4 linked regions of the Rhinolophus ferrumequinum genome follow. The protein of the gene in region 3 interacts with the protein of the main gene of each other region in a pairwise test. Links are inferred from orthologs where the notes say so. Each region holds a gene or a part of one and is shown on either strand. Other genes may lie near its edges.

Region 1 (6,972 bases), on a different chromosome or scaffold from region 3:
AAATATTATTCAGCTGTAAAAAGGAATGAAATACTGATAAATGCTACAATGGGGATAAACTTTGAAAACATTACGTCGACCAGACACCAAAGGTGTATACATATTGCATGATTCGGTTTATATGAAATATCCCAAATAAATGAATCCATAGATACGAAAAGCAGATTGGTGGTTGCCGAGGGCTGGGGGAGAAAGGCACAGGAGGAACTGCTTAATGGGTATGGTGTTTCCTTTTGGGGGGATGAAAATGTTTTGAAAATACACAAAGGTGGTGCTTGCACAACACTGTGAATGTACTCAATGCCACTGATTTTTTTGCTTTAAAATGGTTAATTTTATGTTATATGAATTTCACCTCAAAAAAATATTACTACATAAAAATGCTTTGTACATCCAAACAATGGAATATTATGCAGCCATAAAAAATTCAAGGACATTTTAATGACATGGAAAAATGCTTACAATGTAACACAAGTGAATAAGTAGAATAAAAATTCTGTATGCAGCATATTACTAATTAATTATGTTAAATAAAAAGTGCACAGAAAAGAAGACTACATAAAAATAAAATAAAATGTTTGTTATACAAATTAAAAAATATGGAAAAATTTATGTTTCCATGGTCTGAGTGTCTACTAAGTATTGGGCACAGTGAATGAGATGCTTGAAGATCTGTCCTGCAATGGAGAGCAGGAGACCTGGGACAGTGGCCCTGGGTCTAGAAAGAGCTGGGAGGTCAGCAGAGCCAGATTCTTCTCTGTTCTCTGCCCCAGACTCCCTGGGTGACCCTTCCAGGTCTCAGTCGTTCTCTCTCACAAAAGGAGAGGGTCAAAGGTGAGCCATCTAGAGAGCCATCCATCCTCTTGGTGTTTTCCCCAAGAAACACCTGCCCATGTGCCCAAGGCCACACATTCAGGATGATCCCAGCAGTATTGTTTGTTGTCATGAACACCTGGAATAACTGAATGTTCACCCACAGGGGAATGAGAACTAAGGTAAGGTGGTCAACTGCTGGGCACTCCACTTAGAAGGAATGAACTAGACCTCTCTTTCTCATCCTGGCTAGACTCTGACAACTTAATAGGAAGGTGGGGGGAGAAGATAATTGCAGAAGAATCTCACAGGTCGATAGCATTTACATAGGTCTTTAAGACATGGAAAGGAATTCTATGTATTGTATATGCATCCATGTATATGTAATAAATTTATAAAGGCACAGACTGGAAGGGCTGTAATTCATGACAGTGGTTGTCTGTGGGCAGGGAGAGAAACAGAACTGAGAGGAATACAGTGTGGTGAGGTTTTAATTTTATCTTACTTTTAGTAATTTTATTTTTTAACCTGAAGCAAACGTGACGAAACACTAACATTTGTTAATCCTGGATGGTGGGTTCCTGGGATATGTAATATATTATTCTCTTCACTTTTTTGTATTTTAACCCCTCCCACCCAAAAAAAAGGACAGTGACAAGAAAGCTGTGGAATAAGGGAACTGTTATTTGAGGCCTTTCTCTGTGCTGGCCACAGGTTACACCAGTGGTTCTCAAAGTGTGGTCTCTGGACCAGCAGCGTCCGCTTCTCCTGGGAATGCAAATTCTCGAGGTCCTGCTCCAGAACAACTGAATCAGAAACACTGTGATCAGGATCCAGATATCCATGTTTTAACAAGCCTTCCAGGTGGTTCTGATGTCTGATAAAGTTTGAGAACCACTGGGCTAGACCGTGATAACTATGACCATGGTTACCGTGTATTAAGCATGTATACCTACCTGTCAGGCAGTGCTGTAAGAGCTTTCCTTCAGTAACGCAAGCTAAGCAGCCCTGTGAGGGAGCCATTATTATTATTATATCCATCCTATAACTGCGGAAACGGAGGCACCGAAAGACCAAACCCCCTGCCCAAAGTCCCACAGGCAGGTTGTTCCCAGAAGCCCCCTTCCTTAACTACGGCACTAACTGTCTCCCACATACAGGAAACTCTAACATACTCTAGCTCACTGCAACACTGGAAGAAAGAATTAATAGCTCCATTTGACAAATGAGAAAACTGGAATTCAGAGAGGAAGAATGACTTGACCAAGGTCTCACGAAGAGGAAAGTGGTGAGGCAGACATCCTGCGGTCTGTTCATGAGGTTTTGGGGTTTGAACTAGACATGCTGGAGATCAGAGCCCAGAGGAGAGGGAAGGGGAGGGGGAGGGGGAAGAGGAGGAGGAGGAAGAGCAGCGAGCGTTCCCAGCTGCAACCCTGCCTGGGTGTGGCTCGCACGTCGCGCCTACAGCCAGCTGTCCCCTTCCCCACAGCTGCCAACCCGCCGTGACCCGTCACCCACCCCCACCAGGAACCGTAGGGGCCTTCCCCTCCGGGCCTTCGTGAAGCCCCATCCTCTCTCTCTCTCTCTCTCTCTCTCTCTCTCTCTCTCTCTCTCTCTCTCCTCTCTCTCTCAGAAGGGGAACCTGGACAGCACAGAGAAGTGGCGGCTCCAGCATAGTCACTCGGCGGCCAAGCTTCCCTTCTGCTCCAACTCTCACAGGTTGGCAGCTGGGGAATTCCGCCCCTCATCTGGGCACCCTTCTTCTCGGTCTGCCCCTCATCCCACCGCCTGTCGGTCCCTTTCCCTGCACCCCAGCCTACCCTGCCCACCACTCGGGCTCCCTCCGCAGCGGGAAGACCCTCAGTCTGAGCACACAGGCGGGTGTCTCCCCGTCCGGCACTCACCTGGGCGCCCGCTGCTCGTCCGGCGGGCAGCCCGGATCCTCGCAGCTCGAGCGCCCCCCCAGCTCAGCAGCTCCCGGGGTCCCAGAGGGCCCGTGCCCGAAGGATGACCGACTGAGTTTGAAGACGAGGCTGGGGCGGCCCTGCGAGGTGCTTCCGTGCCGCGGGTCTTTTCGGGCTTCTCTGGCGCTGACCTGCCCTGGTCCCTCTCCGCCTGGCCTCTAGGCTTCCCCGGTATGCCTGGGCTGGTGCCGCGTACTCGGCGGCGCCCACAGGCCATCTGAGCGCTTTAGCCGCGCCCGGAGCGATGCTGACCCCGCCCCCGGAAGATTTTAACTCCACCCCAGGGATCCTAATCTCCGCCCGTACCTCCCAGGATCCTAATCCCGCTGCCTAAAGATTTGTTAACACTGCCCGTCTCCCGTCGGAGGGCTCTAACCTTGCTCCCCCAAGGATCCTAACTCAGTCCCTGATGGATATTAACCCCGCCCCCACGAATTTTAACCTCTCCTCCAAAGATTCTGATCCCATCCCCTCCCACCAAGTATCCTAATGAATCCTCTCTTAATGAATTCTAATACCTCCTCCTGACACGCTAACCCTATCCTAAAGGGATTAAAAAGCCCACCCCCAGGATCCCAACCCATTCCCCCCAAAATCCCAAACCCCGTCTCCTCATCCCAAAATCCTAACTCTGCCCCAAGCGATTTTGAACCCCACATCTGAAGGGTCTTTAACCTCTCTCACCGAAGGTTTCTAATCCTGCCCCAACGATTCTAACCCGGTCAACCGAAGAATCCCACTGCTCTCTTCAAAGAATTCTAACCCAGCCCTCAAGATTTATAACCCTAACCTCGGGATTCTAATCCCGCTCTTGGGCGATCCCAGCCTTGTACCCAAAGGATTGGAATCCACGCCCCTCCCCCCAAAATTCTAATCCGGTCCATCCAAAGATTCCAGCCCGGCCTCCAGGGATCCTACCCCTACCCCTCATCAAAGGATTCTAACCCCACCCTCTTCACTCTGACGGTGTTCTAATCCCTCTCCCCGCCCTCCCCACCACGCATTCTGATCTATTTCCCCCACCGTTCAATCCTCTCCCTCTAGCCCTCCCCTCCCCCACGCCGCGTCCCAAGCCTTCCTGGCCCTTCTGTGGTTAGCGGTTTCCGCTCCACAGGCCCCGCGCTATTTAAACGCCATGCAAAGTTCCTCGCCCGCAAGAACTGCCCTGTTTCATTCCTGGCCGGTTTCCTGGCAGTTCAGAAGACCTCAAAAAAGGAGGGGGCGAGAAATCCCGCCTCCAGGAAGAGAGATACAGGTTCTGGGGACATGAGAGGGTCACCGTCAGTGTCTGCTACGTCTTCTTCCACAGATTGCCGTTGTGACGGCAAAGGACCATAGATCGCTGAAACATTCTCCTGCTTTTTTTTTTCTATTAAAGTAATGCTGCAGTATAAATCCTTGTACGTGTTTCCAAAGCTCCTATCAATTTTATTATACAATGCTTTTATAAATAAAACGCACCATTACAAATACTCCTCTTGATGAGTTTTGGCAAATGTATACCCCTGTGTAACCATCACCCTAATCAATATAGAACACTTCTTCTATCACCCCAAAAAGTTCCCTTATACCCTGTGGCAACCACTGATTGGTTACCTAAGCTAATTATAGATTAGCTTTGTCTTTTCTAGAATTTACATAAATGCAATCATACAGTATGTTTCTTTTATGTCTGCCATCTTCTACTCACATATTACTTCTGAGACTTTCCATATTGTTATGTGTTCCAGTATTTTGTTCCTCTTTGCTGCTGAATACTGTTCCATAGTATAAATGCATCACTATTTGTTTATCCATTTCCTTTTTGGTGGACATTTGGGTTGTTTTCAGTTTGGGGCTACATGAATAAAGCCGCTATGAACATTCATGTACAAGGTTTCGTGTGGACATGTTTTGATTTCTATTGGTTAAATACTTAGGACTAGAGTTGCTGGATCATATTGTAAGTGTATGTTTAACTTTATAATAAATTACTAAATTGTTTTTTAAAATGATTCAACCAATTGCAATGTATGGTTTCCAGTTTCTCTATATCTTGCCAGTTTGGTATTGTCATTATTTTTAATTTAAAAATATTTCCCTTCTAACTCTTCTAACTCAAAAAACATTTATACAATTACAAATTTTATCCTAAAACACTGTCTTACCAGTATTTGTGGTGGTAAACCTTTTGTCTATTCTCTCTTTCTTTCTTTCTTTCTTTCTTTCTTTCTTCCTTCCTTCCTTCCTTCCTTCCTTCCTTCCTTCCTTTCCTTCCTTCCTTCCTTCCTTCCTTCCTTCCTTCCTTCCTTCCTTCCTTCCTTCCTTCCTTCCTTCTTTCTTTCTTTCTTTCTTTCTTTCTTTCTTTCTTTCTTTCTTTCTTTCTTTCATCATGGGGAATATAGCTGACCATAAGAAGTGCTGCTAAATATTGCATCTTTGGAGTCAGACTAGAGTTCAAACCCCGACACTACCATTTATCAGCTGAGTGATCTTGCACAAATCATGTCACCTCTCTGACCTCAGTTTCCTCATCTGTCAAGTGGGAATAATAATGGTATTTAGCTCAGTGAGTCATTGTGAGACTCAACTAGCATCTTATGTCCAAGGGTGATAAAAAAATATATATATATATAAGAAAAATAAAGCAGAGCAAGGGGAGAGGTAGCAGGGATGGGGGAAGGAGTGATAGTGTGACTTAAGATAGAGTGGCCAGGGAAGACCTCTCTAATGAGAGGGCATGTGAACAGAGACCTGCTGAACTGGGGGAATACATCATGTGATAATCTGGGGGCAGTGTGTTCTAAGCAGAATAGTAATAGCAAAGATCCTGAGGTGCAACCACACTTGGTGTTGTTAAGGAATTCAAGGAGGCAAGTGTAGCTGAAACAGAGTGGGTGCAGGGAGCATGATATAGATGATGGTGGAGAGGTAGTGGGGCCAGACTGTGAGGCCATGAATGTCTTGGTATTGACAGTGTACTTTAATTGACACGAGACGGGAGCCATTGGAGGGTTTTGAGCAGAGGAGTAAGCCACACTGGCTTGTGTTTTAATGGGATCTCTCTCACTGCTGGGTGGAGAACAGATTGGAGGGACCAGAGGGAACTCAGTGAACAGGCTGAGACAGTCATCCAAGGGCAAGATAATGACGGCATGGGCCAGGGTGGTGGCAACTGACAATTGTATGAGCTCAGAGAAAGAAAAGATCAAAATGTTTGAGACGTCATGGGTATGTACAAGGAGAGTCACTGCAGCACCGCTTTTACTAGGAAAGAACTGGAAATAACCTAAATATCCATCACTTGGGGACTGGAAAAAATAAATGATACTACAATAACCAAGTACCAGGCAATTGTCAAAAAATATAAGGATGTATAAAAACTAATTGTATTTCTATCCACTAGCAATGAACAATCTGAAAATAGAGTTAAGGAGAAAATTTCATTTACAGTATCACCAAAAAAAATGAAATACTTGGGAATAAATTTCACAAAAGAAGTGCTAGATAGTCTGAAAACTAAGAAACATTCTTGAGAGAAATTTAAGAAGACCCAAATAAAGTCATCGTGTGAGATGGGAAAGATAACTCATGGAGAAGACATCCCTTCATGGATTGGAAGACCTAATATTGTGAAGATGATGATACTTCCCCAATCGATTGACATAATCCCTATCAAAACCCCAGATGTCTTTTTCTTTTTTTAAAAAAAATAGATAAGCTCATACTAAAATTCATTTAGAAATGCAAGGATCCCAGAAAAGCCAAAACAATTTTGAAAAAGTAAAATAAAGTTGCAGGACTCACACTTCCCAATTTTAAAGCTTATTACAAAGCTATAGTAATCAAGATAGTGTGGAACTGGCATAAGGATAGACATACACATCAATGGAACAGAATTGAGAGTCCAGAAATAAACTCTCACAATGATAGCCAAATGACTTTCAAAATAAAGGTGCCAAGACAATTCAGTGGGGGAAAGAATATTCTTTTCAATAAATGGTGCAGGAACAACTGGATATTCCTATGCAAAATAATGAAGTTGGACCACTACTTCACACTATTCACAAAAATGGATCATAGACTTAAATGTGTGAGCTAAAACTATAAAACTCTTAAAAGTAAATGTTAATGACCTTGGGTTAGACAAAGCTTACTTAGATGTGATAGAATTGACAAAAGAAAAATAGATAAACTGGACTTCATCAAAACTAAA
Region 2 (7,592 bases), on a different chromosome or scaffold from region 3:
CACTTCTCTGTCCTAAAAACACACTTTGCAGATGGAAGGCAAAAAGTGACTCTCACCCAAGGTCACCCAGCTAGTGACACTAGGACTGCCAGTAGTTCACCACCGGTGCCATCATAAAGGCAGAACACGCAACCATGCAGTTACCTGCTGGATGTGTCTTATTAACTAGATGTGTTTGTATTTTCTCAGGAGATTCCTCATGGCCACAGGTCTCTTGTGGTAGGAATCCAGGAACTGTGCAGGGGGCACTTGGGGGCAGTGAGTCTCCCTTGTGCCGCTGCTATGACGTTATCTACCTTGACTGAGTTGATACCTGAAGCAAAACCTGCTTGTACTCTCTCACGTATGGCTTCCTGGTTTTCTTCTAGACCTGTTACCGCTCCACATAGGGGAGAGGAACTGAAGACCTGCAGAAGGAGGATGGAACAGCTCTGACCAAAGCTGGGATAGTTTACCAAGGATCCTTACCAATGAACACCTTATTCTGTGAACGATTCATCCGTTCTACAAAGTTACCGAATTACTGAGTGCTCACTATATGCCAGGTGCTGTGTGAGACGTTGGGTCAATAATGGTGAACAAAATGGACATGGTCTTTCACCTCATGGTCTTTAAAGTCTAGTGAGGGAAAGAGACGTTTCATGACTAACGGGCACTAAATAAATGTATAAGTTTAATGACTGCTATAAAGGACAACAAGGAAAATGGGCTTTGGTGGGCGAGGGGATGGCTGCCTCAGATGAGAGTACCAGGGAAGATTTTTCCAAAGAAGTGACATGAACGCTGAGACTGAAGGATAAGAGTCTGGCAGTGCAGAGCAGAGGAAGAATATTCTAAGTCAAGGGAACAACATGTACCGAAGCCATAAGGTGAGAAAAGTTCTGCCAAATTGAGGGATTGAAATGAGGCCAGGGTAACTGAGGTGTAACCAGTGGAGCTGGGGTGGGAAAGAGGCTCAGGATGAAGCCAGAGAGGGAGGAGGCCAGCCCTGCAAGCTGGGAAATGCATCTGGATTTATTCTGGATGGGTGGGGAGGTGTGGTGGGGGGAGGGCGACCTGATCCTGTTTCCATTTCATTCCATGGCAGAGCAGAGGACAGACTGAAGGGACAGAGTGGAAAGAGAAGCCCAGCCGTGGGTCTCCAGCAGTGCTCCAAGCTGGTATGTGGGTGCTTGAGTAGGTCAGCTGATGGCAGGAAGATCAAAGGCATGAGGTAAATGATATCTTTGAGAGAGAATCAAAAGCACTTCCCCAGAAACTGGACAGCACAGATTCTGGAACCTCGTTGTCAAGGCTCGTGACCCAAATCCACTGCTTACTAGGCCCATGATTCCAGTTGAATTGCTTAACCTTTCTGCACCTCATTTTCTTCTTCTGAAAAGGAAGCTAGAAATATATAGTACATCAGAGGGTAAAGGTCTCAGATAGAGCCTGGCACCCAGGAACGACCATATATGAGGTGGTTGGCATTATCGCTGCCAAAGGATTTGAGAGAGAGGAAGGGTGAAGGCCAACTTAGAGGCTATAAAACGTTTTCTGCACTGAGTTTTGAGGAGCCCCTCCCCCTCCTCCTCCTTCCCGGAATTCCAGAAGCAGACCTGTAGTGCTGCATCAAAAGCCTTAACATGTACGTTGCCTTGATTCAGCAGTTCCCCCACTGGGAATCTATCCCATGGAAATACTAGGGGGCTGTGCAAAGATTCCATTGCAGAGATACCATAGAGCACGGCTCTGATGGTGAAGAATTGAAAACTACCTAATTATCTAATAGACGGACATTGATTAAATAAATTCTGCTCCATCCATATGCAGAGACATTCTGCAACCTTTAAAATGATGTGATAAAACATCTATTCATATGGAAATATGTTCACGATATGTCATTAAATGAAAAGAACTATTAATAAAACCATGTTAGAATATAATCCAATTTTCCCATATATGTACCCAATGGAAAAAATGTCTGGAATAACAAACATCAAAATGTCAACAATGGTTACCTTTGGGGATAAGATTATAGGTGTTTGTGATTTTTTTTTTTAATGATCTTATCTGAAAATTCTAACTTGACTACAGTAAGCTTGTATTGCTCCTCTTAAGGACCTCCTCTTCCCCTCAAAGCCGACCTATATTTTCTGGAGGGAAGATCAAGGTTGCATCAACATCTTAGCCCTTATCTGCTGTGGTACACTCAGGCATCCACTGTTGTTTCAGGATCAGCCGGTCAGAATCCAGCCTCTGCAGGAGACTCTGCAGGAGCAGCCACCCACTACTCACCCCCAAGCGAAGACACCTCAGCTACAGCAAGTCCTAAACAGAACCCCAAAGGCATCGCCTCTGTCTATGACCAACTCAGTTTGCCAGATATTGTCTGTAGCATCACCCCAACATTTTCCACCTCGAGAGAGAGCATTTTACAGCACTGCACCGTTTACAGAGAGCCCCAGTTCTTGCTAAGGGTCTAAGTGTGGTGACTCAGACATAGACGGTAAATGCCTTTTACAGCTTTGTTCCCACTTGCATAAGGCCATTTGATTCTTCAAAACCACCCTGTGAAAGAGGGAGGCGGGGAGGAGAAAGTATGCAGGCTTTGGAACCAGATGTGTTTGCTGTGAGGTCTTCAACTAATGGCTTAACCTCTCTGAGCTTCATTTTCCTGTGTCAAATAGGCTAATAATCCCACTTTACAGGGTTGCTGTGAGGAAGGCATAATGTCAGAATGTGCCCAGCGAGGCACAGCAGGCACTGAAATAACACCTAGTCAGCACAATATTTTTATACCTGTATTATAGATGGGGCAGCCAAGGCTCGGAATGGTGAAATGACTTGTCCAAGGCCTCACGAGTTTGAATGATCCCAGGAGCCTTGTCTCCCAGGCCAGTGTTCCCCTGGGCTGTGCTGCTGCTCGGGACACTGTGACCCAGCCCTCCATGACCCTCCCTGGCTGCTTACCTTCTCTGTCACAGCCTCCCTCCTCCTGCTTCTCCTTTCAGGAGTGCAGCTCTGCAGCATGTGCTCTGACTTCTGGACTGGTTTCCAGTCAGTTGTGGGCGGGTCTCATTTGCATGAGTTTTCAGGCCACTCCCGGCCAGCTCTATCTCAGGTTCCCCACTTCCTTCTGATGACTTTGGACTGTCAGTGCTTACAGGGGACATTCTGGAAGTTTTGGTTTCATCTTCCTCCTATGTGTCGCTCTTGCTTTTTCTCAAAAGGGAGTTGAAGCCCATTCATCTTGCGGGCCTCTGTTCAGTGTGGGTTTGGTCGCCCGCCATCTGGGATTGCACTTGCCCTCTACGCGCTGACTGCCTTCACAGGAAAGTAGGGTATCTCTTGACACCATTTCTGCTATTCAGCCCAGGTAGACACTTCCCTACTCTGAGCCCTACCACCAAAATGCAAAGAGCTCTTGCAAAATATTGTGAAAAAAACAAATCCTGCAGAGAAGCAGTCAGGGAGAGGAATTTAAGCATAGCATGAAGAGCCGGGATTCTTTTTTTTTTTTTTTCCCTAAGATTTTATTGGGGAAGGGGAACAGGACTGTATTGGGGAACAGTGTGTACTTCCAGGCCTTTTTTCCAAGTCAAGTTGTTGTCCTTTCAATCTTAGTTGTGGAGGGTGCCATTCAGTCTCAAGTTGTTGTCCTTTCAGTCTTAGTTGTGGAGGGCGCAGCTCAGCTCCAGGTCCAGTTGCCGTTGCTAGTTGCAGGGGGCACAGCCCACCATCCCTTGCGGGAGTCCAACCGGCAACCTTGTGGTTGAGAGGATGCGCTCCAACCAACTGAGCCATCCTGGAGGCAGCTCAGCTCAAGGTGCTGTGTTCAATCTTAGTTGCAGGGAGCGGAGCCCACCATCCCTTGCGGGACTCGAGGAGTTGAACTGGCAACCTTGTGGTTGAGAGCCCACTGGCCCATGTGGGAATTGAACCGGCAGCCTTCGGAGTTTGGAGCATGGAGCTCTAACAGAGCCGGGGTTCTTAAGTCAGACTTCCAGGTCAGAGTCAAGGTCTCGCTCAGAATCCAGTCTGGACTTGCTAGTGTTGTGTACCTAGTGTTGTGTACCTAGTGTTGTGTACCTAGTGTTGTGTACCTAGTGTTGTGTACAGATAGATTTAATATGATTTTACATCTAGCAGCTTATCACTGAAGTTGTTTTAATACGCTCGTTTGTGACAAAGAAAAAAATTGCTTTTGTTACAAGAATGAAATAAGTCATGCCAAGATGTCATCATTCTACATCTGCTGTTGATTAGCAGTCGGGGGGCTTATCGATATGTGGGAGAAGCAACGGTAGCAAGGAAACATGTAGATGAGAAATACTGAGAGTTTGTGAGGACTGTTTGAGAGTTTGGGTTTGGGTGAGGGGACTCTGCTCTAACCTTAAAAACTCTCCGAAGACCCTTGGGGCATTCACTCCCATCTTAGCAAGGCATTGGTGAAAGACTGCTGATAAAGACAATGGTGATACATGGAGCAGCGTCCAGGAAGGAGATCACCCTGCCCACCACCAACACTGGCATCTCTGTTTCCTAGCAACGTGCTCTAGCAACAGGGAACTTTTGCTCTGGCAGCTGGAAATCAGCTCTTTGGTTGGTCACTGACTCTCCTACTTGTATATAAAGGAATACTTCCTATTAAATTTGGACTTTATTCCTTCACCTCCCCTGGCTTGGAACAATAGTGTGATTAAGCTGTCATTTGTTGGGAGTATGTTATTTCTTTATTCAGCTTAAGAGAGATCCTGTGTGCTATTGGCTTATGAAATTATAATTCCCACAGTGAATCTGTGCTAAATACATTGCTGGCAAAGACAGAAATCAGTCTGAGTATAACTTTTGCTGCCTCCCCCAAACAAAACAAAACAGTTAGCGTGCCTATATAATGAGGCCTCCATCCATAAAAACTCCAAAGGATGGGCTTCCGGATTGATGAACACATGGCAGTGCCGGGAGAGTGCCCAGCATGGAGAGGGCACGGAGGCTCCGCACCCCTTCCCACACACCCACCCCTTGCGTCTCTTCCATCTGGCTATTCGTCTGTGTCCTTTATAATAAGCTGGTAAACATCAGTACATGATTCTCTGAGTTCTGTGAGCTACTCTAGCAAATGAAGCCCAAAGAGGGTGTGGTGAGGACCTCTGATCTAAGCCAGTGGGTCGGAAGCACAGGTGACACTCTGGATTTGCACTTGGTGTCTGAACCGTGCGTGGGGAAGAGGCAGTCTTGTGGTACTGAACCCATCACCTCTGGGTCTGATGCTCTCTCCAGGTAAGTAGTGTCAGAATTGAGTTAAATTGTAGGACACCCAGCTAGTGTTGGAGAATTACTTAATGGTGTTGAAAATTACACACACCTGGGAATTGGTGTCAGAATCGGAACATGCTTACATCTTTTGCTAAGTAAGGACATTCATCACAGTTTTATTTTAGCCACAAATGATTAAAAAAAAAATGTGAAAGCCCAACTGTAGCACATCAATTTAGTGGCAAACTACATAATCATTTAAAATGATGTATAGGAGAATTTTGATTGACTTGTGAAAATGTCACAATGTACTGTAAATGGGTGAATGCAGTCTACAAAATGGTATATGTAGTATGAGGCAGATGTTGTAAAACAAGATTTACATATAAAGGCTGAAAAGCCATGAGACAAATATTACAACGGTTATCTCTGGATGGTGGGCTTACTGGTGTTGCCATTTTCTTCTTATCTATATTTTCTAAATTTCCATTAACAAATATGTATTACTTTTATAGTAGGAAAATTCATTTGGAAAGTACGTAAATCTGAGTTTCTGCAACCAGGGAATCTAGAACTTGAAAAGAAAAGCAGGGTGTATAAGAAGTCTCTCAGGGTATTGCAAGCATTGATATAAAAATAAAATAAACCATGGCACTTTCCAGGTCACTAATTGTTTAGTGAGCAAATGCATTATCATCACATCTCTGGGTGAGAGAGGCTAGGGAGTACCTTTCAAACCATGGAAAACTTTTCTGGGGGAGATGCCCAGGAGAGATAGTGAGTCATCTAAGGAATCTGAGAGTTGAACTAAGTTAGTTCATGCTTGGGGTCTGAGGTCAGCCAGCCGAAAAAGCACCTCATGTAAGCAGTACCTAGGAACCAGGTGAGTGAAGAGTCTTGAGACTTGGTGGAGCCCAGCCAAGGTCTGGAGCGGGGGGCTGGGTGGTTGAACCCATCTGGGGCAGAAGAGGCACAGATGGCAGTGGAGGATGGAGAAAAGGCCACGAGGAGTCAGGTTTTGGTCGGGTGATGATCAATGTTTTAGCAAGTGCCCCCACCAAGGGTAAGGGGCACCTCTCCCTGTGGGGCACCACACTCATTACTCAGAACCTTGTTTTAGGCCTTTCCAGAGTGCAGGACCGTTCCAGCACCACCGGTGTCACCTGGACAGTATTAGGGATGCAGAACCACAGGCCCACTCCAGACCTACTAAGTCAGAATTTGTATTATTACAAGATCCCTAGGAGATCGGGAAACACATTAAAATGTGAGGAGCACTCATAGTAATCAAAACAGCATGTCTCTGGCATAAAACACACACATAGATCAATGGAACAGAATAGAGAGCCCAGAAATAAACCCATGCCTATATGGTAATTTAATCTATGATATAGGAGGCACGAATACACAGTGGGATAAAGACAGTTTATTCAATAAACGGTGCTGAGAAAGCTGGACAGATACATGCAAAAAAACAAAAACAAAAAAAACCTAGACCACCTTCTTACACCAAAAATAAACTCAAAAATTAAAGACTTTAATGTAAGACCAAAACCATAAAACTCCTAGAAGAAAACATAGGCAGTAAACTCTCTGACATTGCTCTTAGTGATTTTTTTTTTTTTTGATATATCTTCTCAGGCAAGGGAAACAAAAAGAAAAGAAACAAATGGGATTACATCAAACAAAAGTTTTTGCACAACAAAGGAAACTATCAACAAAACAAAAAGAAATGCTACTAAGTGGGAGAAGATATTCACCAAATATACATCTGATAAGGAGTTAAAATCCAAAATTTATAAAGAACTCATACAACTCAACACCAAAAAACCAAACAATCCAATTAAGAAATGGGTAGAAGACCTGAATAGACATTTCTCCAAAGAGGACATACAGATGGCCAATAGACATATGAAAAGATGCTCAGTATCACTAACCATCCGAGAAATGCAAATTAAAACCGCTATAAGATATCACCTCACACCTGTCAGAATGGCCGTTATTAATAAATCAACAATGAGCAAATGTGGGCCAGAATGTGGAGAAAAGAGAACCCTCCTGCACTGTTGTTGGGATTGCAAAGCGGTGCAGCCACTATGGAAAACAGTATGGAGGTTCCTCAAAAAACTTGAAAGAGATTGAAAAGACAACTTGACTTGGAACAACTTGATTTGGAAAAAAGGCCTGGAAGTACACACTATTCCCCAATAAAGTTCCGTTCCCCTTCCCCAATAAAATCTTTAAAAAAAAAATGGTGGGGTGGGGCCAGATGGGTTTCAGAATTTTTCATATTTTAGGTAGGTAATTTGCATTTACTATATATTAAGTGACTCTCCCAGTGGGATCTGGGGCAG
Region 3 (7,675 bases):
AAAGGTTGGAATTTGCAAGTCTTTTTTTTCTCCTTTGACTTCTTTGAGGAGTTCTGTTTGTTGCCTTTTGCATTCTCCATATTCAAAAAAAGAAGTTGAGGTTGATAAAAAGAAAATCTTACTTCTGAAATTGTAATATCTTAATTTTTCAACTGATCACACAAATATTTTCAGCATTCGCACTATATTAAGTACTAACACAGGACCTGCATTCAAAGTAAACGAGGTAGAGCTATTGCTGCCACAGTCTAAGGGGCTCCAAAAAAAATATATGATGAAAACTATAGCAGGTATTCGCAGGAAACTAAATAGGGATGGAGTCCATAGCTTCATATGAAGAGAAAAAAAGGAAGGCTTTCTGGAAGAGGTGTCTGAACTAATCCTAAATCACTGTACCAAAATTCTCAAGTTTTAGGAACAAGAGAGTAAACAATTATTCCATAGGTATATACAAGGCCAGACAATTAAGTTCGCGAATTCATCCTAGAAAAAGTGCTACTACATATCTCATTGCTAAGGTCACCTTTGAAGTACTCCCCTTGTCAAGCTATGCACTGATGCCAGCGCCTAGTCCACCCTTCAAAGCAATTTTGGAACTCTCTTTCTGGAATGGCCATCAGAGCTGTCATCGTGTTACCCTTGATGTCCTGAATGTCATCAAAATGTCTTCCTTTCAGTATTTCCTTTATCTTGGGGTAAAGAAAGAAGTCATGGGGCGCCAGATCAGATGAGTAGGGAGGGTGTTCCAATATAGTTATTTGTTTACTGGCTAAAAACTCCCTCACAGACAGTGCCGTGTGAGCTGGTGCATTGTCGTGATGCAAGAGCCATCAACTGTTGGCGAAAAGTTCAGGGCGTCTAACTTTTTCACACAGCCTTTTCAGCACTTCCAAGTAGTAAACTTGGTTAACTATTTGTCCAGTTGGTACAAATTCATAGTGAATAATCCCTCTGATATCAAAAAAGGTTAGTAACATCATTGCCACAAGTTCGCGAACTTAATTGTCAGATCTCATATAAATGATCAGGAGAATGAGGCCACTAAATCACTGTGGAATGCCCACACGTACTTCATTAGTATGTCTATCACAAAATTTCAAATTGTTAGTAAATATGAATAAATATGACATAAATAATACATATGAATATGATATATTCCAGAATTTTTCCCACATATCTTAAGCAAAATGTTAATGGGTTTTCCTTGGGTTTCTTCTAATATATAAAACAATTTATTGTGACCAATAGCACTTACTTAATAGCTTTTCCTTTTCCTGGTAGGGACATTGGAGAGTAAATGATACTTGTGAAGCTTAATATAGGGCCTGGTATACAGTAGAGTTCATTAAATGGTAGTCCCCCTTTCCAGTCCAAAGTAGAACTTCTATGTCCATTCGCTACAGGGACTTAATGATGCTCTAAGAAATATTTGAAGTCTAATCTCACAGCTAATTACCAGTACCTACCAAAGAAATCTTTAGCATCTTTCTTCTTCAGTTTCCTCAGTCCCCACCCTATTTATTCCTAGCAATACCTTGTGGTGAAACTGTTAGGTAAGTTCCTAAAACAAGACTGTCACATTTAAGTTATGCTAGAAATTTTTAATCATGTAAGCATGATTCCTGAAACAGTTATTGAAGGTTCTGCCAATGCAATGGCAAATATAAGTATAAAGATTTTACCTCTAGGAAAATAAATCCCATAAGTATTGAGATTAATACAATTCCCAATTCCAAAGTAGGTCAAAATAAAAAATGTAGGTAGAGCGCACAGCCAACAGATGGCAGCAGTTGAACATCAAACCCTGCTTTTCACAGGCATGTTAAATTTAACTTGCAGAAATGCAAAACCCCAATCAAGGTGGGTAAAAAATGTCTATAGAGGGCACCTCGTATTTGAATTAGTCACATAGCACCAAGATAGCAAGTATATAGGAATGTGGTAGTTGCTACATAGTATGGTAATGAGAAGGGACAATATGAGATGAAAGTATTCTGAGACACAGGATGTGACTTGTTGAAGATGAAAAGATTGGAAACAGAAGCTAATTGGATTCCACAATCCTGAAAATGGGGGTATTCACCAAGGATCAGAGCACTGGAAACATATAAACACTTAAAATACATTTCAGTACTACCCATACAATATAGCAGGAAGTTGATTGATATATTTTTTAATAGATTCGCATATGGCTACAACTGGGAAGAAATTGTTTCGAAAAACCTTTTTGACTGATTTGCCAATTTATAATACTGGTAACTTATACAAGAAATAGATTCCCTCATCCTTCTATAACCCGTGTTTAACTTTCAAGAGTTTAGAAGAAAAGATACCTAGAGTGGAATCTCACCTCAGTCGGCTTTTAGCTGTATTACTTTAACAAGATACTTAAGTTCTCTGTGACTCATCTATAAAAAAGTGACAATAGCTACCTCACAGGATTTTGTGAGAGTCAAAGAAGTAAACAAATAGCACTTGTTTAACACATAGTATGCACTGCATAATGGAAAGCTATTATTGTGATTCCAGGTTATGTGCCCCACCTCATTTTAAATTATTTGCTCCAAATTCCTGAAAAATACATTGTTAACTATATTATGCATAAAGTTATAAGAAAAAATTTCTGCGAAGGTCCAAATTAATTTACAGCGACTGGAAAGTAAGAGAAAGTGACAGTATTGCTAGTCTGCTAATGGCTGCTGACCAGTTAACAAAAAGATTTCTCACATCCCTGTTTTGCCTGTTGGAATTTCAGATTAATTTCCAGGTGGTTATTTCTGCAGATTATTTTAGCCAGCCACCACCTAACTCCAGGAGCCTCCTCTTGCTCATATGTGAGCTTTCTAGACTGGTGTCCTAGCAGACATTTCTTCATGTGGACTCTGCTATCTCAAAACTTGCCCCCGGGACTTCACCTTTCCCCAACTTTTTGCCTACAGCTCATGTAAATTCTTTCAGACTATCTCCTTCTTCCCCCTCTCCCATATTTGATGTATAAAAACACTTGCAAAACTCTGGGACGACAGACATGTTGTCTTTTCTACCTAGCCATGCTGCTTGCTGGTGGTTCAGACTCCATGCTCCAAGACCAGTCTTTTGGCTAGCATGTTTGGGTCAATGAAACACTACTTAAAGAAAGACCTTCAGCCATGGAAGTTAAAATTTTTTAGTTTAACAAGAGAAGGTGGCTGGGAACTTGGTAGCTATAGTAATGATGTTCTTGCAAGTACTGCAGATGAAAATAAAGTTAATTGGGAAGGTAATGGAGCAAGACACAAATTTTATGTTATTTCTTGTGTGTTAAAACCTATATGAAGGTGCCTATTTCAGCTCAAGGAAAGGATCTCATGGTTAGTTTTGCTTAGCTAAGTTTGCTGAACCAAGCCAAAGGACTTTATTGACCGATGCTATCCAGTCTGCCATACAGTACCCAGAGAGCAAACTAAAGCTATGATTTCTTATTCTTCATTGGCATTGTGTTGGCAAGGGGTACACAGTGCAGGCTTTGGTGGTAATGAACTGGAAGAGTCTGTCCCATGAACAGATCACAGAAGAGTCTGTAGCCTGCCAGTAAAATTTCCCCCTAGGCAATGGAGAGGCAGTTCCTATCAACCTACACTATTCAGATTGGTTTTTCCTTCGTTTTCCAAGACTGGGCTACTCTTGAGGTGGAAGGGGGTTGAAAGTGAGTACGCAGAATAGCAAAGAGCAGTTGCTAAACACTCTCAAAGGTACTGCAAAATTCAAATTAAAGTTGTAGCTTTGAGGATTAGACTCACTGGCCTCTGAGCTCTGCTTGAGTGTTACGTATTATTCCATTTTGTATCCCCAATGCCTCAGCAGGGCTCTGCATTCAATATATTTATGAATATATAGATCGTCATAATTTTGTTTTTCTGAAATGTCATGTGTGGGAACACTGTACCAGTTTTTGAAATAAACACACCGTTTTAAGTAGTTTCTGGAAATGACCTGTAGTGTAATAATAAAGAATACCAAATGCCAAGCACTGAAGCTAAGCATTTTACATTACGGAGTGAATTTTGGCAACTGAGGCTTCAAGATTGTATTCAAGAGAATACAACTAAGATGGCACAGCTGATATGTTACAGGGTTTAAGACTTGAATCCAAGCTTGCCTGACTCTTAATCACAAGACAAAACTATTAATTCAGCAAAACCTGGTCAACCACAGTCCTTCAATGTGCAGAGTCCACTGTGAATTTAGGGCCTGGTTTACCAAGATGAGCCAGTGTGTCCACCCACCCCACCCTAACCAGGAACTGGGATGTTCAAGGTAAAACGTGGCCTTTGCGCAGGCTCACACGCCCATCCTCACTCTCCCTTCCCCGCCTACAGGGCGTCACCGCCACAACTTTCCCGGACTTTAGAATGGCTCCCACCCACTGTGAAGTCAAACAGGCGGAAGTCGTTCCTCTGGGCGACACATGGACATCCTTCTCTTCCTCTGGCCTTTCCAAATTGGAGGGGACACCATGCCCCTCCGTTTCTCCCGCATTCAAGAGGGAGTTTGCCAGTTGTCAATATGGCCGCTGACGGGCCGGTCCCCTGCAGAGGCTTTTCATAGGCCAAGGTCGCATCTTAGCCCCGCCCACTACGTCCCTCCGGCTGCTCCCGCCTAGGTCTTGGCTGCGCATGCGCAGTCGGGGCTGACCGGGTGGTGGGGCTGCTGGATTCTTCCGTGTGCCACCGTCTCTTCTTCAGGGTGGCTGCTCCTGCCACTTCGGGGCTGCATTGCCAACGTTAGCCGCGCGAGGGGAAGGGACGGGACGGAAGGAGCGTGCGTGCACGGGGATCCTCACAGTCCCAGCAGTTCCTGTAGCGCGGGGTGGGCGGTGGGGGTCAGCAGTAGTCGGCAGTGGCCCTAGACGGCGCCATGTCGGCGGGCGGCCCGTGCCCGGCAGGAGCCGGAGGGGCCCCAGGGAGCGCATCTTGCGCCGTGGGCGTCTCCCCCGGTGGGGTATCCATGTTTCGGTGGCTGGAGGTGCTGGAGAAGGAGTTCGACAAGGCCTTCGTGGATGTGGATCTGCTTCTAGGCGAGATCGATCCGGACCAGGCGGACATCACTTATGAGGGGCGACAGAAGATGACCAGCCTGAGCTCCTGCTTTGCGCAGCTTTGCCACAAAGCCCAAACTGTGTCCCAAATCAACCACAAGCTAGAGGTGAGCTTTGGGCGCTGGACGGGGCGGCATTCAACTGCAGTCATCAGATCGCGTCAGTGAAACGACCCTAGAAAAGTGCCCCCTGGGGCACCTGGGCTTTCAAATGTCAGGGAGAGTGCGTCTGTGTCTGTGTGAAGGAAAAGAGGGAGGTGAGGTTGGAGTGGAAAGGGGGTGTAGATCGACGTTAGGTCTCCCTGGGTCCTGCCATCCACCTTCCTTCTATATCTAGGAGGAGGCAACAGGAACGAATTGCACCAACCTACATATTACATTAAGCTAAGATTTAAGCTCAAAGATTCTGTCATAGGAATACCTTCGCCCATCTTTTAACATTTGGGTTTTTAGATATACTTTCACATTGATAAACTAGGTTTGTATATCCAGACAGATACTGTCCTGATTATTTTTAACCATTTCAGATGAACGTCTGTTGTTGCACACAGACATACTATTCCCTGCATGCATGAACTATTTAGGGGAATTTGATAAAAGCGCTGAGGAAAATTTAGAGGGATAAACACAATAGTATCAATGTCCTTCTCGGTTTACAGTCCTTAAATTACAGGCGACACCACCAGAGCTCCCTACAATCATTCAAATGACTTCTAACATTGAGATTTTGTTTGTACTTGACTATATTTCCAAAAGTCAGGATTTATTTTTGAGAGTGTGTGAACGATGATCATTTGCTTTAGTCTCTAATCTTGGTTGTGGTTGTGGGTGGAGTGGTGGTGGGTACAAAAAACAAAAACAAAAAATCTACCACATTGTGCAGAAAATTAAATTAGCGTATTATTACAATATTTAGAAATCATCATAGGTTAACATTGCATAAAGAGCTTTTTCTAACTAGGTTATTTTAAGTGTAAGAATGGGTCTTTCATTTTAAAGTACATAAAAATAAGATAATCAATGATGTGCAAAGCTCTTTGAACATTAGGTTTCCTAAGAAATCATCATTGCTACTTACCAGTTTTAATAAGAGAATGCCCATTGGATTCATATCAATATAAATATCAGATATGCATCCTCTCCTTGCATAGCCATTAGCATTCTTTCTGTTTCCTGTTAGTCATGAAAAAGTTGGTATAATTTTTGATTAGTATAGAATTGCATATCAGAAATTTTGTGACTTCTCCAATGAAAGGACTGTTAATTTTTTTCCATCTGTTTTGAAAAGGTTGGAATGGAAGTGCTAATATGAAGCCAATCACTTTTTCTTCTAGATATATAAAAATGTCTCTTGATTTCTTGATTAGTGATAGTTTCTAGAAGATAGTTATTTTTCCAGGTAATGAAATTGCATTTGATGATTTTTATTAATAGTACTCTAGTTTTAAATAACAGAGCAAGAGTAGGTTTTGCCACATGAGAACTTTCATATCATTTACAACGGAAAGTATCTACTAAGGATAAATAGCTTTTAAAAAATGAAACAATATCTAATTCATGTTTTAAATGACTAAGGAAACTTTAACAGTGATATTTTGATGTAAGATGTAAAATCTAATTTTGGGAAAAGGATAGTTCTCTGAGTAGGAGGTGGTGCTTAATTTCTTTCATCTTTAATATTTTACATGAGGATTCAGAGCTATAATAAATTATTCATGTTCTTTTTTCCAGAAATTATAATTACGTATTCTGACTCCATGTCCTGACTTAGGAAGTAGCGTTATTTCTCGAAATAAGAAATGCTAGCCTATCATAATGTGAGCATACATTTTTTTAACATGCTTGAAACCCTTGATATAAATGTCTTAGAAAATGGGAGGGGAAGAGGCTAAACATGATTTTTTTGTTCGTATGTTTTTTCAGTTACAGTTGCTCATCTCTTTGTGGGGTTAACCTTCTACATTTAGTAGTTTCTACAGTGTTTATGAAATTAGTTGTGTATTGCTGAGGAGAGCTTCATTGTCAGTAGTGCCTTTTCAAAGTAGATCTGCTGTTATATCATTTGCAAAATTTCAGAGGTTGCTCTGTATAATGTTATCAATCTTCTGAGGTTTTGAAATCTCAGAAACACATGTCCATGCTTTCTTGCCCTATTGTATTTCTTAGTAAGTGGATTGAATTCTGTTGTTCGAAAGATTTGGACATGAAGGCATACTGTTTGAGGCCACTTACGGTTTGATGTATAACAAACGTGCACCAAAGTTTAAAGTTCACTGGTTTTAGTGATTAATACCTTAAACCACATTACCATAATAAAATATTTTTGTAATAAAGTCTCAGATATCTCCAATTATGGATAACTTACATTTCAATTGGTCTTGAGTGCTCTTCCAGACTGCCCCTTCTTCTACCCAGTCATCGTGTCTTTAGGTAGCACCATGTTTAATATTAATGTCGTAGTTAGGAAAACAATGTTGCTGCCAAAAAAAAAAAAATCATAGGTTACATTTAAAAATTAAATATAAATGACATCTATGACTGCTTCTTGCCATAAGTTATATTTGGGGAGAGGGATGTTTGTAAGAGAATGGGGAGGGCA
Region 4 (7,458 bases), on a different chromosome or scaffold from region 3:
GACAGTAGGGGCTGTCCCTGGGGCTGGGGCAAATACTCAGTGGGTGCCAATGCCCGGGTCTCTCACCAGAGGGCCAGCCGGGCCCGGGGGTAGTCCAGCCGCTCGAGCGCGCCCAGGTAGTGGGATATCGAGTGTTCGGCATTGCGGGCCAGGATGGCAAGGACCACGGCGGGCGGCAGCAGCTCGGCGACGCCTGCAACCTGGAGCCGCAGCCCCAGCAGGAGCAGCAGCTGGAGCAGCCCGGCGGCGGGGACAGCGCGCATGGCGGGCACTCGGGCGGCGGCGGCGGCCCCCGGGGCTCCCGGCCCGGCGGAGGGGAGTGGGCGGTGCGGCCGGGCCGGGGCGGGGCCCGGGGCCGGGGTGGGGCCGAAGCGGCCAGGAGGAGGAGTTGGGGGCACGTACCCCCCAAGAGTGGGTTCTCACTCCCTACCCCTATACGGGGGTTCTCAAGTGTCTTTTCCTCTGCCAGGGGCACCGCAGGGCCAGGACCGGGAGACCTGCCCCAGACGCAACCCGGGAGCAGCCCCCGCCCGGCTGGAAGCCGGAGGGAGAAAGGGGGAAAGATGGGAGGGTCTGGGGTGACGGCATCCGAGCCGCCCCGGCGTCTGCGAACTCGCCACTCCAAATCCCTGAGCGTGCAACCCCCAGAATCCGGCTTCACCGAGCACCCGACGCCCCTGAATCCGGATCCCTGTGACCTCAGTCCCACGGACCTCAACCGCCCACCCCGCGAGACAGGATAGACTCCGCTCGGCCCTTCCGGGGTTCCCCGGCCCCGCCCCCTCCACCGCCCCCGGGCGCCCCCTGGCGGGCCCAGATGGAACTTCGCAGAGAAGCGAGGCGTCGCGTGGGCCTGAGAGCCGGCTTGCGGGGCGGGGAAGGGGTCTGTCTCCCTGACCTGGGCGCCATCCCTCTGCAGTCCGAGCCTGGCGTCCCCCGTGCGACATCGCCCTCGCTTCAGTCGGCGGCACTGGCACTGCTCCGGTCCTTTAAGAGAGCAAAGTTCACTCTTAGACTGAGTGCAAACCAAGAGGGCACCACACAGCCCTTCACGGTGTCCTAGCCCCCCTCCAAAGCAAGCTTCCCTGGGGCAGAGCTGGGGTCCTAGGCTCTGCTGAGATGGAAAGGGTCTCCAGCTTCTCTTAGGAGAGGGCAGGAAAGGTGAGGGGTCTGGAGACACCAATGGAGGGTTCCAGCTTCACATTTGCCACGGACCTCCGGCAGGGCATTTTCCCTGAGCCTCAGGTCCTCATTTGGGCTAGATTGCAAGAATTCCTTGAGAGAATGAATGCATTTGAAGCTTCTCTGCATGGAGCCTGGCTCCAGGAAGAATTCCTGAGTCTGGAAGACAAGACTGAAGAGGAAGCCAGGCTCCCCTTTCATTCACTGTCCCCACCCACCCACCAGGAAGGTTTCCTACTTTCCTATGGCAGGTTTGGGTCTCTCTTCAGCCTCTTCCCAGAGTCAGGGAAGAGGGCTAAGCCCGTGCATACTATTTCCACTGAGAGGAGAGAGGTGGGAGTTCAGCAAGGAATGAACCTGCCTAGTGATGGGACAGAATGTGGGGTTGTGGAACCCTGGAGGCCAGGAGTCCTGGCTCCAAAGCCTCCTCCAGGCCCCAGTTGAAGCTTCCGGGGGCGGAGGAGGGAGGGAGTGCTTTCTGGCCAGCGGCCCTGCAATGGAAGGCCTAAGGCCTCTCCCTGCTGCTACTTTTTGGAGAAAAGAGAAGCTACCACCTGGGAACTCTCATTTCTAGCCCCTAAACCTTCCACCCTCTGTCTCCAAGCTGGCCTCTGCTCACACTGGCTGGTACAATGTTGTTACTTCGGCACAACAGAACCACTCCTGAGCTCCAAATGCCATCCCCTTGCCCTTCCTGAATTGCCAACCTCCCTCTCTTCTAGATTTTTCCTTCCACATTCCAAAGGATTTAAATCTCCCCCAACCTCAAATACAAAAACACCAAGCTGCAGCCCTGCTTCTCTCTCCCTTCAAACCTCTTGATAGGGGAATCTGTGCTTTGTTCCCAGTCTTGCTTCCTCATCTCTGTTCACTGCTCGACACAGGCCCAGGCTGCTCCAGCCAAACCGCTCCTGCCAAGACCAGTATCCTCCTGGCCACTCCTTCAATGGACACTTTCTCCTCACCCAAGAGGGCTCTCCTCAGCAGCTGACCACATGGACCACTCCCTGTTTCTGGAAAACTGACATGTGTCCCAACTGCCCCCCTGGAGCCAAATTCCATCTGTCCAAAACAAAACCTCAATCTTTCCCCCAAACCTGTTCCCCCTCTGGAGGCCTCCCCACTCTAGGGAACAGCACCTCCACTTACCCAGTCCCTCAAGCTGGAGACCTGGGTGTCACTGATGACAAGTCCTTCTTTCTCAACCAGGTCCATCCCTCATCCTGGCAAGACCACCTCCTCAACGTCTCCTGTATGTGGCACTCGCCTGGCTCAGGGTATCAGCACCTAACATTCACCCGGGCCCCTGCACCTCCCAGCCTCCCACGCCACCCTACCCCACTTTCTCCCTGGAAACCATTCTGCACTCAGCAGTCCTTTCTAAAATGCCTGACATTAACACCCTGACGGGGCCGAGGCCTGCCCTCAGTATAGAGCTCAAACCCCTCAAGGGGCAATGAGGCCCTGTATGGCCTACCTGATGCTTTCCCAACTCCTCTGACCGCCCCTCCCACCCAAGTTCCTGCTCCAGCCAAACTGGACTATGTACAGTTTCCAGAACACTCCATGCTTTAGGACCTTCCCACATCCTTTTTTGTTGTTCGTTCATCTGCTTGAACTGGTCTTTCTGGCAAACTCCTACAGGCCCTTTGATCTCAGTTTAAACTTCCTTCCTCTGGAAAGCTTTCCCTGGTGTCACGTCGGGGGGACATACCCTTATACGGCATCCTATGTAACCCATTCATTCAGCAAGTATTTATGGAGTACATGCTAGGTACAGGTAGAATTCTAGGTATAGGGGTATCCGAGACAGACCATCTCTGCTTCTCAGGCGCTCACATTCCGGTGAGAGGAGACAGACAGGAAACAAGCAAACTGATAAATTAATACTGTGTTTCCCCGAAAATAAGACCTACCTGGATAATCAGCTCTAATGCATCTTTTGGAGCAAACATTAATATAAGACCTGGTATTATATATATTATATTATATTATATTATATTAACCTAGTCTTATAGTAAAATAAGACTGGGTTATATTATATTATCTTATATTATACCCAGTCTTACAGTAAAATAAGACTGGTTCTTATATTAATTTTTGCTTCAAAAGATGCATTAGAAACAAACAAACAAACAAAAAAAGATGCATTAGAACTGATTGTCCTGCTAGATCTTATTTTTTGAGGAAACACGGTAGGTAGTTTCCCCAAAACTAGGGAAAAGGTAGGTAGAACAGTAAGGGCTATATGAACAAAACGAGTTAACAAGAACAGAGAACAGCTGGGGGGTGGGTGGTAACGTTGAGCTGAGGGGTCAGAGAAGACATCACAGAGCATAAGAGGAGCCAGCCAGGAGCAGCTCTGGGGGAAGACTGTTACATGTGGAGGGAGCAGGTGGGGCCAAGGTCCTACGGTGGGAAGAAGCCAGGCCTGGGCGGTCGGAGCAAAGTGAGGCGGGGGAGTGTGGTGAGATGTGAGGACCATCCAGGGCCTTGAAGCCATGGCGGGATTTTGACATTTTTTTTGAAGTACAATAAAAAGACATTGGCGGGGGGAACCAGAAGAGTGACATGATTTGTCTTTAAAAGATTGTTCTTGGGGTGGCCAGTTAGTTCAGTTGGTTAGAGCGCGGTGCTCTTAACAACAACATTGCAGGTTCGATCCCCACATGGGCCCCTGTGAGCTGCGCCCTCCACAACTAGATTGAAACAACTACTTGACTTGGAGCTGATGGATCCTGGAAAAATAAAAACAAACAAACAAACAAATAAATAAAAAGATTGCTCTTGCTGCAGCTCAGAGGGTGGACTATGGGGGCAAGGATGGAAGCCGGGATACCCTCGGACAGGGAGAGATGACAGGGGGCAGGGTTGAGGTGTGTAATGGGATTAGATGTGGGTGATGAAGCGAGGAATTAGGATGACTTACATGGTTTGCAGTCGGGCTGGATGGTGGGCTAGTTACTGAATACAGAAGACCGGAGAAGGTGGGATGGGCCAGTGCCAGATGGCTCAGTTGGTTGGAGTGGGGGCTTTCAACCACAAGGTTGCCGGTTCAACTCCTCGACTCCCGCAAGGGATGGTGGGCTGCACCCCCTGCAACTAACAACGGAAACTGGACCTGGAGCTGAGCTGCGCCCTCCACAACTAAGACTGAAAGGACAACAACTTGACTTGGAAAAGTCCTGGAAGTACACACTGTTCCCCAATAAAGTCCTGTACCCCTTCCCCAATAAAATCTTTTAAAAAAAAAAAGAAATACGAGGAGGTCATTGCAGAAGTGGGCTGATCAAGCACCTGTACTCCCACTGACATTCTTTTTTTTTTTTGCCCCCAAATATAATAATAAGACATACTCCACAAAGGTAATATTGGGCCAAATTCACAGCAATTCTAAAGCAGGTTTGCAAAGTATGATCCTTGGTCCAGCCAGCATCAACCTCCCCTGAAAATTGTTAGAAATGCAAAATCCGAGGCCCCACCCATACCTATAGAATCAGAAACTCTGCGAGTGGAGGTTAAAGCAAGGAGCCTTGAAGCTGCTGTTCCATGGGCCTAAGCCCTCATCCTCCGGGTCATGTGGAATACATGCCTGGAAAAAAATTGGGCCCATCTGTCGGAATAGGGCCCAGACCACCCTGGAGAACACCTAGTGCAGCTCTGGGTTTCGGCACTCCCATATTGTAGTTCTGATCGAGGCCAGGTGGTGGAGCTAGCGCCTCAGGCTTCACTCTGGCATCAGGAACTAGAGACCCCAGAATTGTCCCCCTCCCCAGTGCCTTCTCCGCTGGGAGCCTCAGCTCCAAGGCCGGCCCACTGGCAAGGGCTCTGCGGGTGGCCTTCATCAGGGAGAGGATCGCTGAGGCTGGCACACCCCAGGTGGGGGCCAATCCCCTCTTCCAGGAGGTTAGGAAGGTGGGCTAGAGGAGACCCCTTGGTCAGAGAGAAATTAGGGGTGTTTGGCCTCTGGGACTGGGGGTCAGGAACCCAGGAAGGTGGCTCTGGTCCAATTGACTCTGGCCACACTGCCATTAACCCTCTGCCTACCCTGCTCAACCTCAGACGAAGTCTCAGGTGTAGCTTCCCTGCCAGAGGCTGGGGGCAGCCTGGAGGTAACCCAAAGCCCAGACAGAGCCCCAGGGTTCGGGGTCCTCACAGCCTGGCAGTCAAGCAGCCTGAGAACAGGGGCCCACAGTCAAGGAGATGCTTGTATGGAGCTCTTTCTTACCAGCTGCCAGCTTCACGTCGCCTGGGTTGGGGGCTCTCTGGGCCCGTCCTGCTTTGTGGCCAAGGGAGCCCAGCATCCTGGCCAAAGGAGGAGCCCACGCCCCGCTTCTGGTCCTGGGGGCAGCTCGGCAGATAGGAGTCCAGGAGGCCCGCCTGGGCTCCCACCTCAGGTTCCAAGCCCGGGTCCCAGAGACCCAGGGCTGAGTGCAGGCTTGCCCCCCATCTGCTCCCCTCATCTTTCCTATTTGAGGGGACACAGAGACCTCCCAGTCCAGCTGGAGTCACCCTGCCCACTCTGCTTAGACCTAGCCTACCTTGGCCTCTGCTCCAGGAATCTGCCCACGCACTCTGATCTCCTGCAGTCCCACCCAACACCCACACCCACTCCAAAGGACTCTCCCTCTTGGCCATGCCTCCCTCTCCCAGGACCCCAGTGTAGAGCTGTCCTCTGAGGCTCTGCCTCTGTCCTTAGGAGGCTGGGGCCCGGGCCAGCTGTTTTCTCCAGACCGCCAGCTGTTTTGCCCATCAGGAAGCAGCCCTGGCTCCTTTGCCTAACCGGCTGCAGCGTGGCAGCCCTGCCTGGGCCAGAGCCTGAGCGCTGTTAACTCCTCTGGGCCCAGACACCCCTTCCCCTCCCGGTCCAGCCCCTCTGCCTTCCCCCTAACCCACAGGAGTAGCTGGTCACAAGACGTCTAGAGACCTCAAGAAGACAAAGCCTTGCTATCCACACCCCCATAAATGACTGCTAACCTGCTCCCCTCCCCTCAACAGAGCCTTGTCCTCAGGTGACCCCAGGTGAGAGAAAGTTAAAGGGATACTTGTTACCCCGTTCGGAACTATAATAATAATAGCTATCATTAACTGAGTGCTGTGTGCCAGGCATGGTGCTGAGTGCTTTAAATACGTAATCTAACTTAATTTTCACAACAACCCTGTGATGTAGGGAATATTTTCATTTTACAGATGAGGAAACTGAGGCGTGGGAATCTAAGTCACTTGCCCAAGTCCACACAGAGTTGGGGTTTGACAGGGGGCTGCCTGCCTCTCTCTGGTCGGCCCTATTCGCTCCAGAATCGCTGTTGGTGTTGCTATTTAAATTTCCCCGAGCTCCTCCCTGCAGGCTGGCTTTCCCTGGTCTGGGACTCAGTGGCACCATCTGTGAAATGGGAAAACTAAGAGGTGGAACCGCCAGCACCACCAGATCCCGTAGCCTGAGGCTGGAGCTGTGCCAGGCTCTGCACTCAACACCTTCCCAGTATTTATTAGCAGATCATTCCTCTTGGTGGCGGCAGTCGGCCTGGGCGAGGAGCCCGGCTCTGCTGCTTCCTGGCAGCTGGCTTGGGGCAAGAGGCTCTCCCTGTCAGACTTTCAGTGTCCAGAGCTGGAAAATGGATATAAGAGCGGTACCTACGGTCTCCTCAATTTTGTTGTGAAAGGATGAGATAACGCAGGTAGAGCGGTTAGGCCAGTATCCAACACAGAGAAAGTGGGTGGCAATATTACCTCTTATTATTATGACCATTAACCCCAATCTGGAAGGATCAGGATGGCCCACCCACCACTGTACATCCCCACACCCGGCACAGAGCTGGAGGCCTCTGTCCTTACTTTGTTAATGAATGAACCCTGGTCCAGTGGTACCTACATGGGGACAGCAGGCTGTGAGAAGGGCACAACTACCCAAGATCACAGTTACCAGGAAGAGCTATGGGGGCCCCAAGGTGCCCTGCTCTTAGCTCCTGCACCCCTGCAGCTTTCCCTCCTGAAGCTGGCCCCTGGTCTGGTGGAAGAGGAGGAGGGACAAGGAAACAGGGACAATCCCAGGGCTGAGACAGCCCAGAAGGTGACTGGGCCTCGGCTGGGTGGGATCTCAGGGTCTGGGAACGACCCCTCAGGATGCAGTGACCCGTGCTCTCCCCCTTTGTCCCCTCCCTCCTGCCCACCATGGGTCAGCTCCCTGGTCCCAGCCTAGACATCTGGAACTGGGGCAGACAAAGGACTGCAGGGAGGGACAATAACCTTCTGTCCATTTTCAGATGGTGGGTCTGG

The links.
Region 1: the proteins of GOPC (region 3) and HCK interact in binary tests that used the Homo sapiens proteins (3 or more experiments, as listed by UniProt). The two-hybrid records come from large-scale screens. The link is inferred for Rhinolophus ferrumequinum from reciprocal best matches to the Homo sapiens genes GOPC and HCK.
Region 2: the proteins of GOPC (region 3) and RNF183 interact in binary tests that used the Homo sapiens proteins (3 or more experiments, as listed by UniProt). The two-hybrid records come from large-scale screens. The link is inferred for Rhinolophus ferrumequinum from reciprocal best matches to the Homo sapiens genes GOPC and RNF183.
Region 4: the proteins of GOPC (region 3) and CERCAM interact in a two-hybrid assay, tested with the Homo sapiens proteins (2 studies listed by BioGRID and IntAct). The two-hybrid records come from large-scale screens. The link is inferred for Rhinolophus ferrumequinum from reciprocal best matches to the Homo sapiens genes GOPC and CERCAM.

The regions. Positions count from the first base shown.
Region 1 is NC_046306.1:22,499,435-22,506,406, forward strand, and holds the start of HCK (tyrosine-protein kinase HCK), read right to left. Parts: upstream 3,013-6,972; 5' UTR 2,718-3,012; intron 1-2,717. UniProt on the Homo sapiens protein: Non-receptor tyrosine-protein kinase found in hematopoietic cells that transmits signals from cell surface receptors and plays an important role in the regulation of innate immune responses, including neutrophil, monocyte, macrophage and mast cell functions, phagocytosis, cell survival and proliferation, cell adhesion and migration.
Region 2 is NC_046295.1:65,194,070-65,201,661, forward strand, and holds the start of RNF183 (E3 ubiquitin-protein ligase RNF183), read right to left. Parts: upstream 3,013-7,592; 5' UTR 2,953-3,012; intron 1-2,952. UniProt on the Homo sapiens protein: Acts as an E3 ubiquitin ligase catalyzing the covalent attachment of ubiquitin moieties onto substrate proteins. Triggers apoptosis in response to prolonged ER stress by mediating the polyubiquitination and subsequent proteasomal degradation of BCL2L1.
Region 3 is NC_046286.1:68,269,944-68,277,618, reverse strand, and holds the start of GOPC (Golgi-associated PDZ and coiled-coil motif-containing protein), read left to right. Parts: upstream 1-4,675; 5' UTR 4,676-4,896; coding exon 4,897-5,184; intron 5,185-7,675.
Region 4 is NC_046295.1:77,277,554-77,285,011, reverse strand, and holds the start of CERCAM (inactive glycosyltransferase 25 family member 3), read right to left. Parts: upstream 3,013-7,458; 5' UTR 2,928-3,012; coding exon 2,897-2,927; intron 988-2,896; coding exon 899-987; intron 315-898; exon of another isoform or gene 264-314; coding exon of another isoform or gene 201-263; coding exon 67-200; intron 1-66. UniProt on the Homo sapiens protein: Probable cell adhesion protein involved in leukocyte transmigration across the blood-brain barrier. Does not express any beta-galactosyltransferase activity in vitro.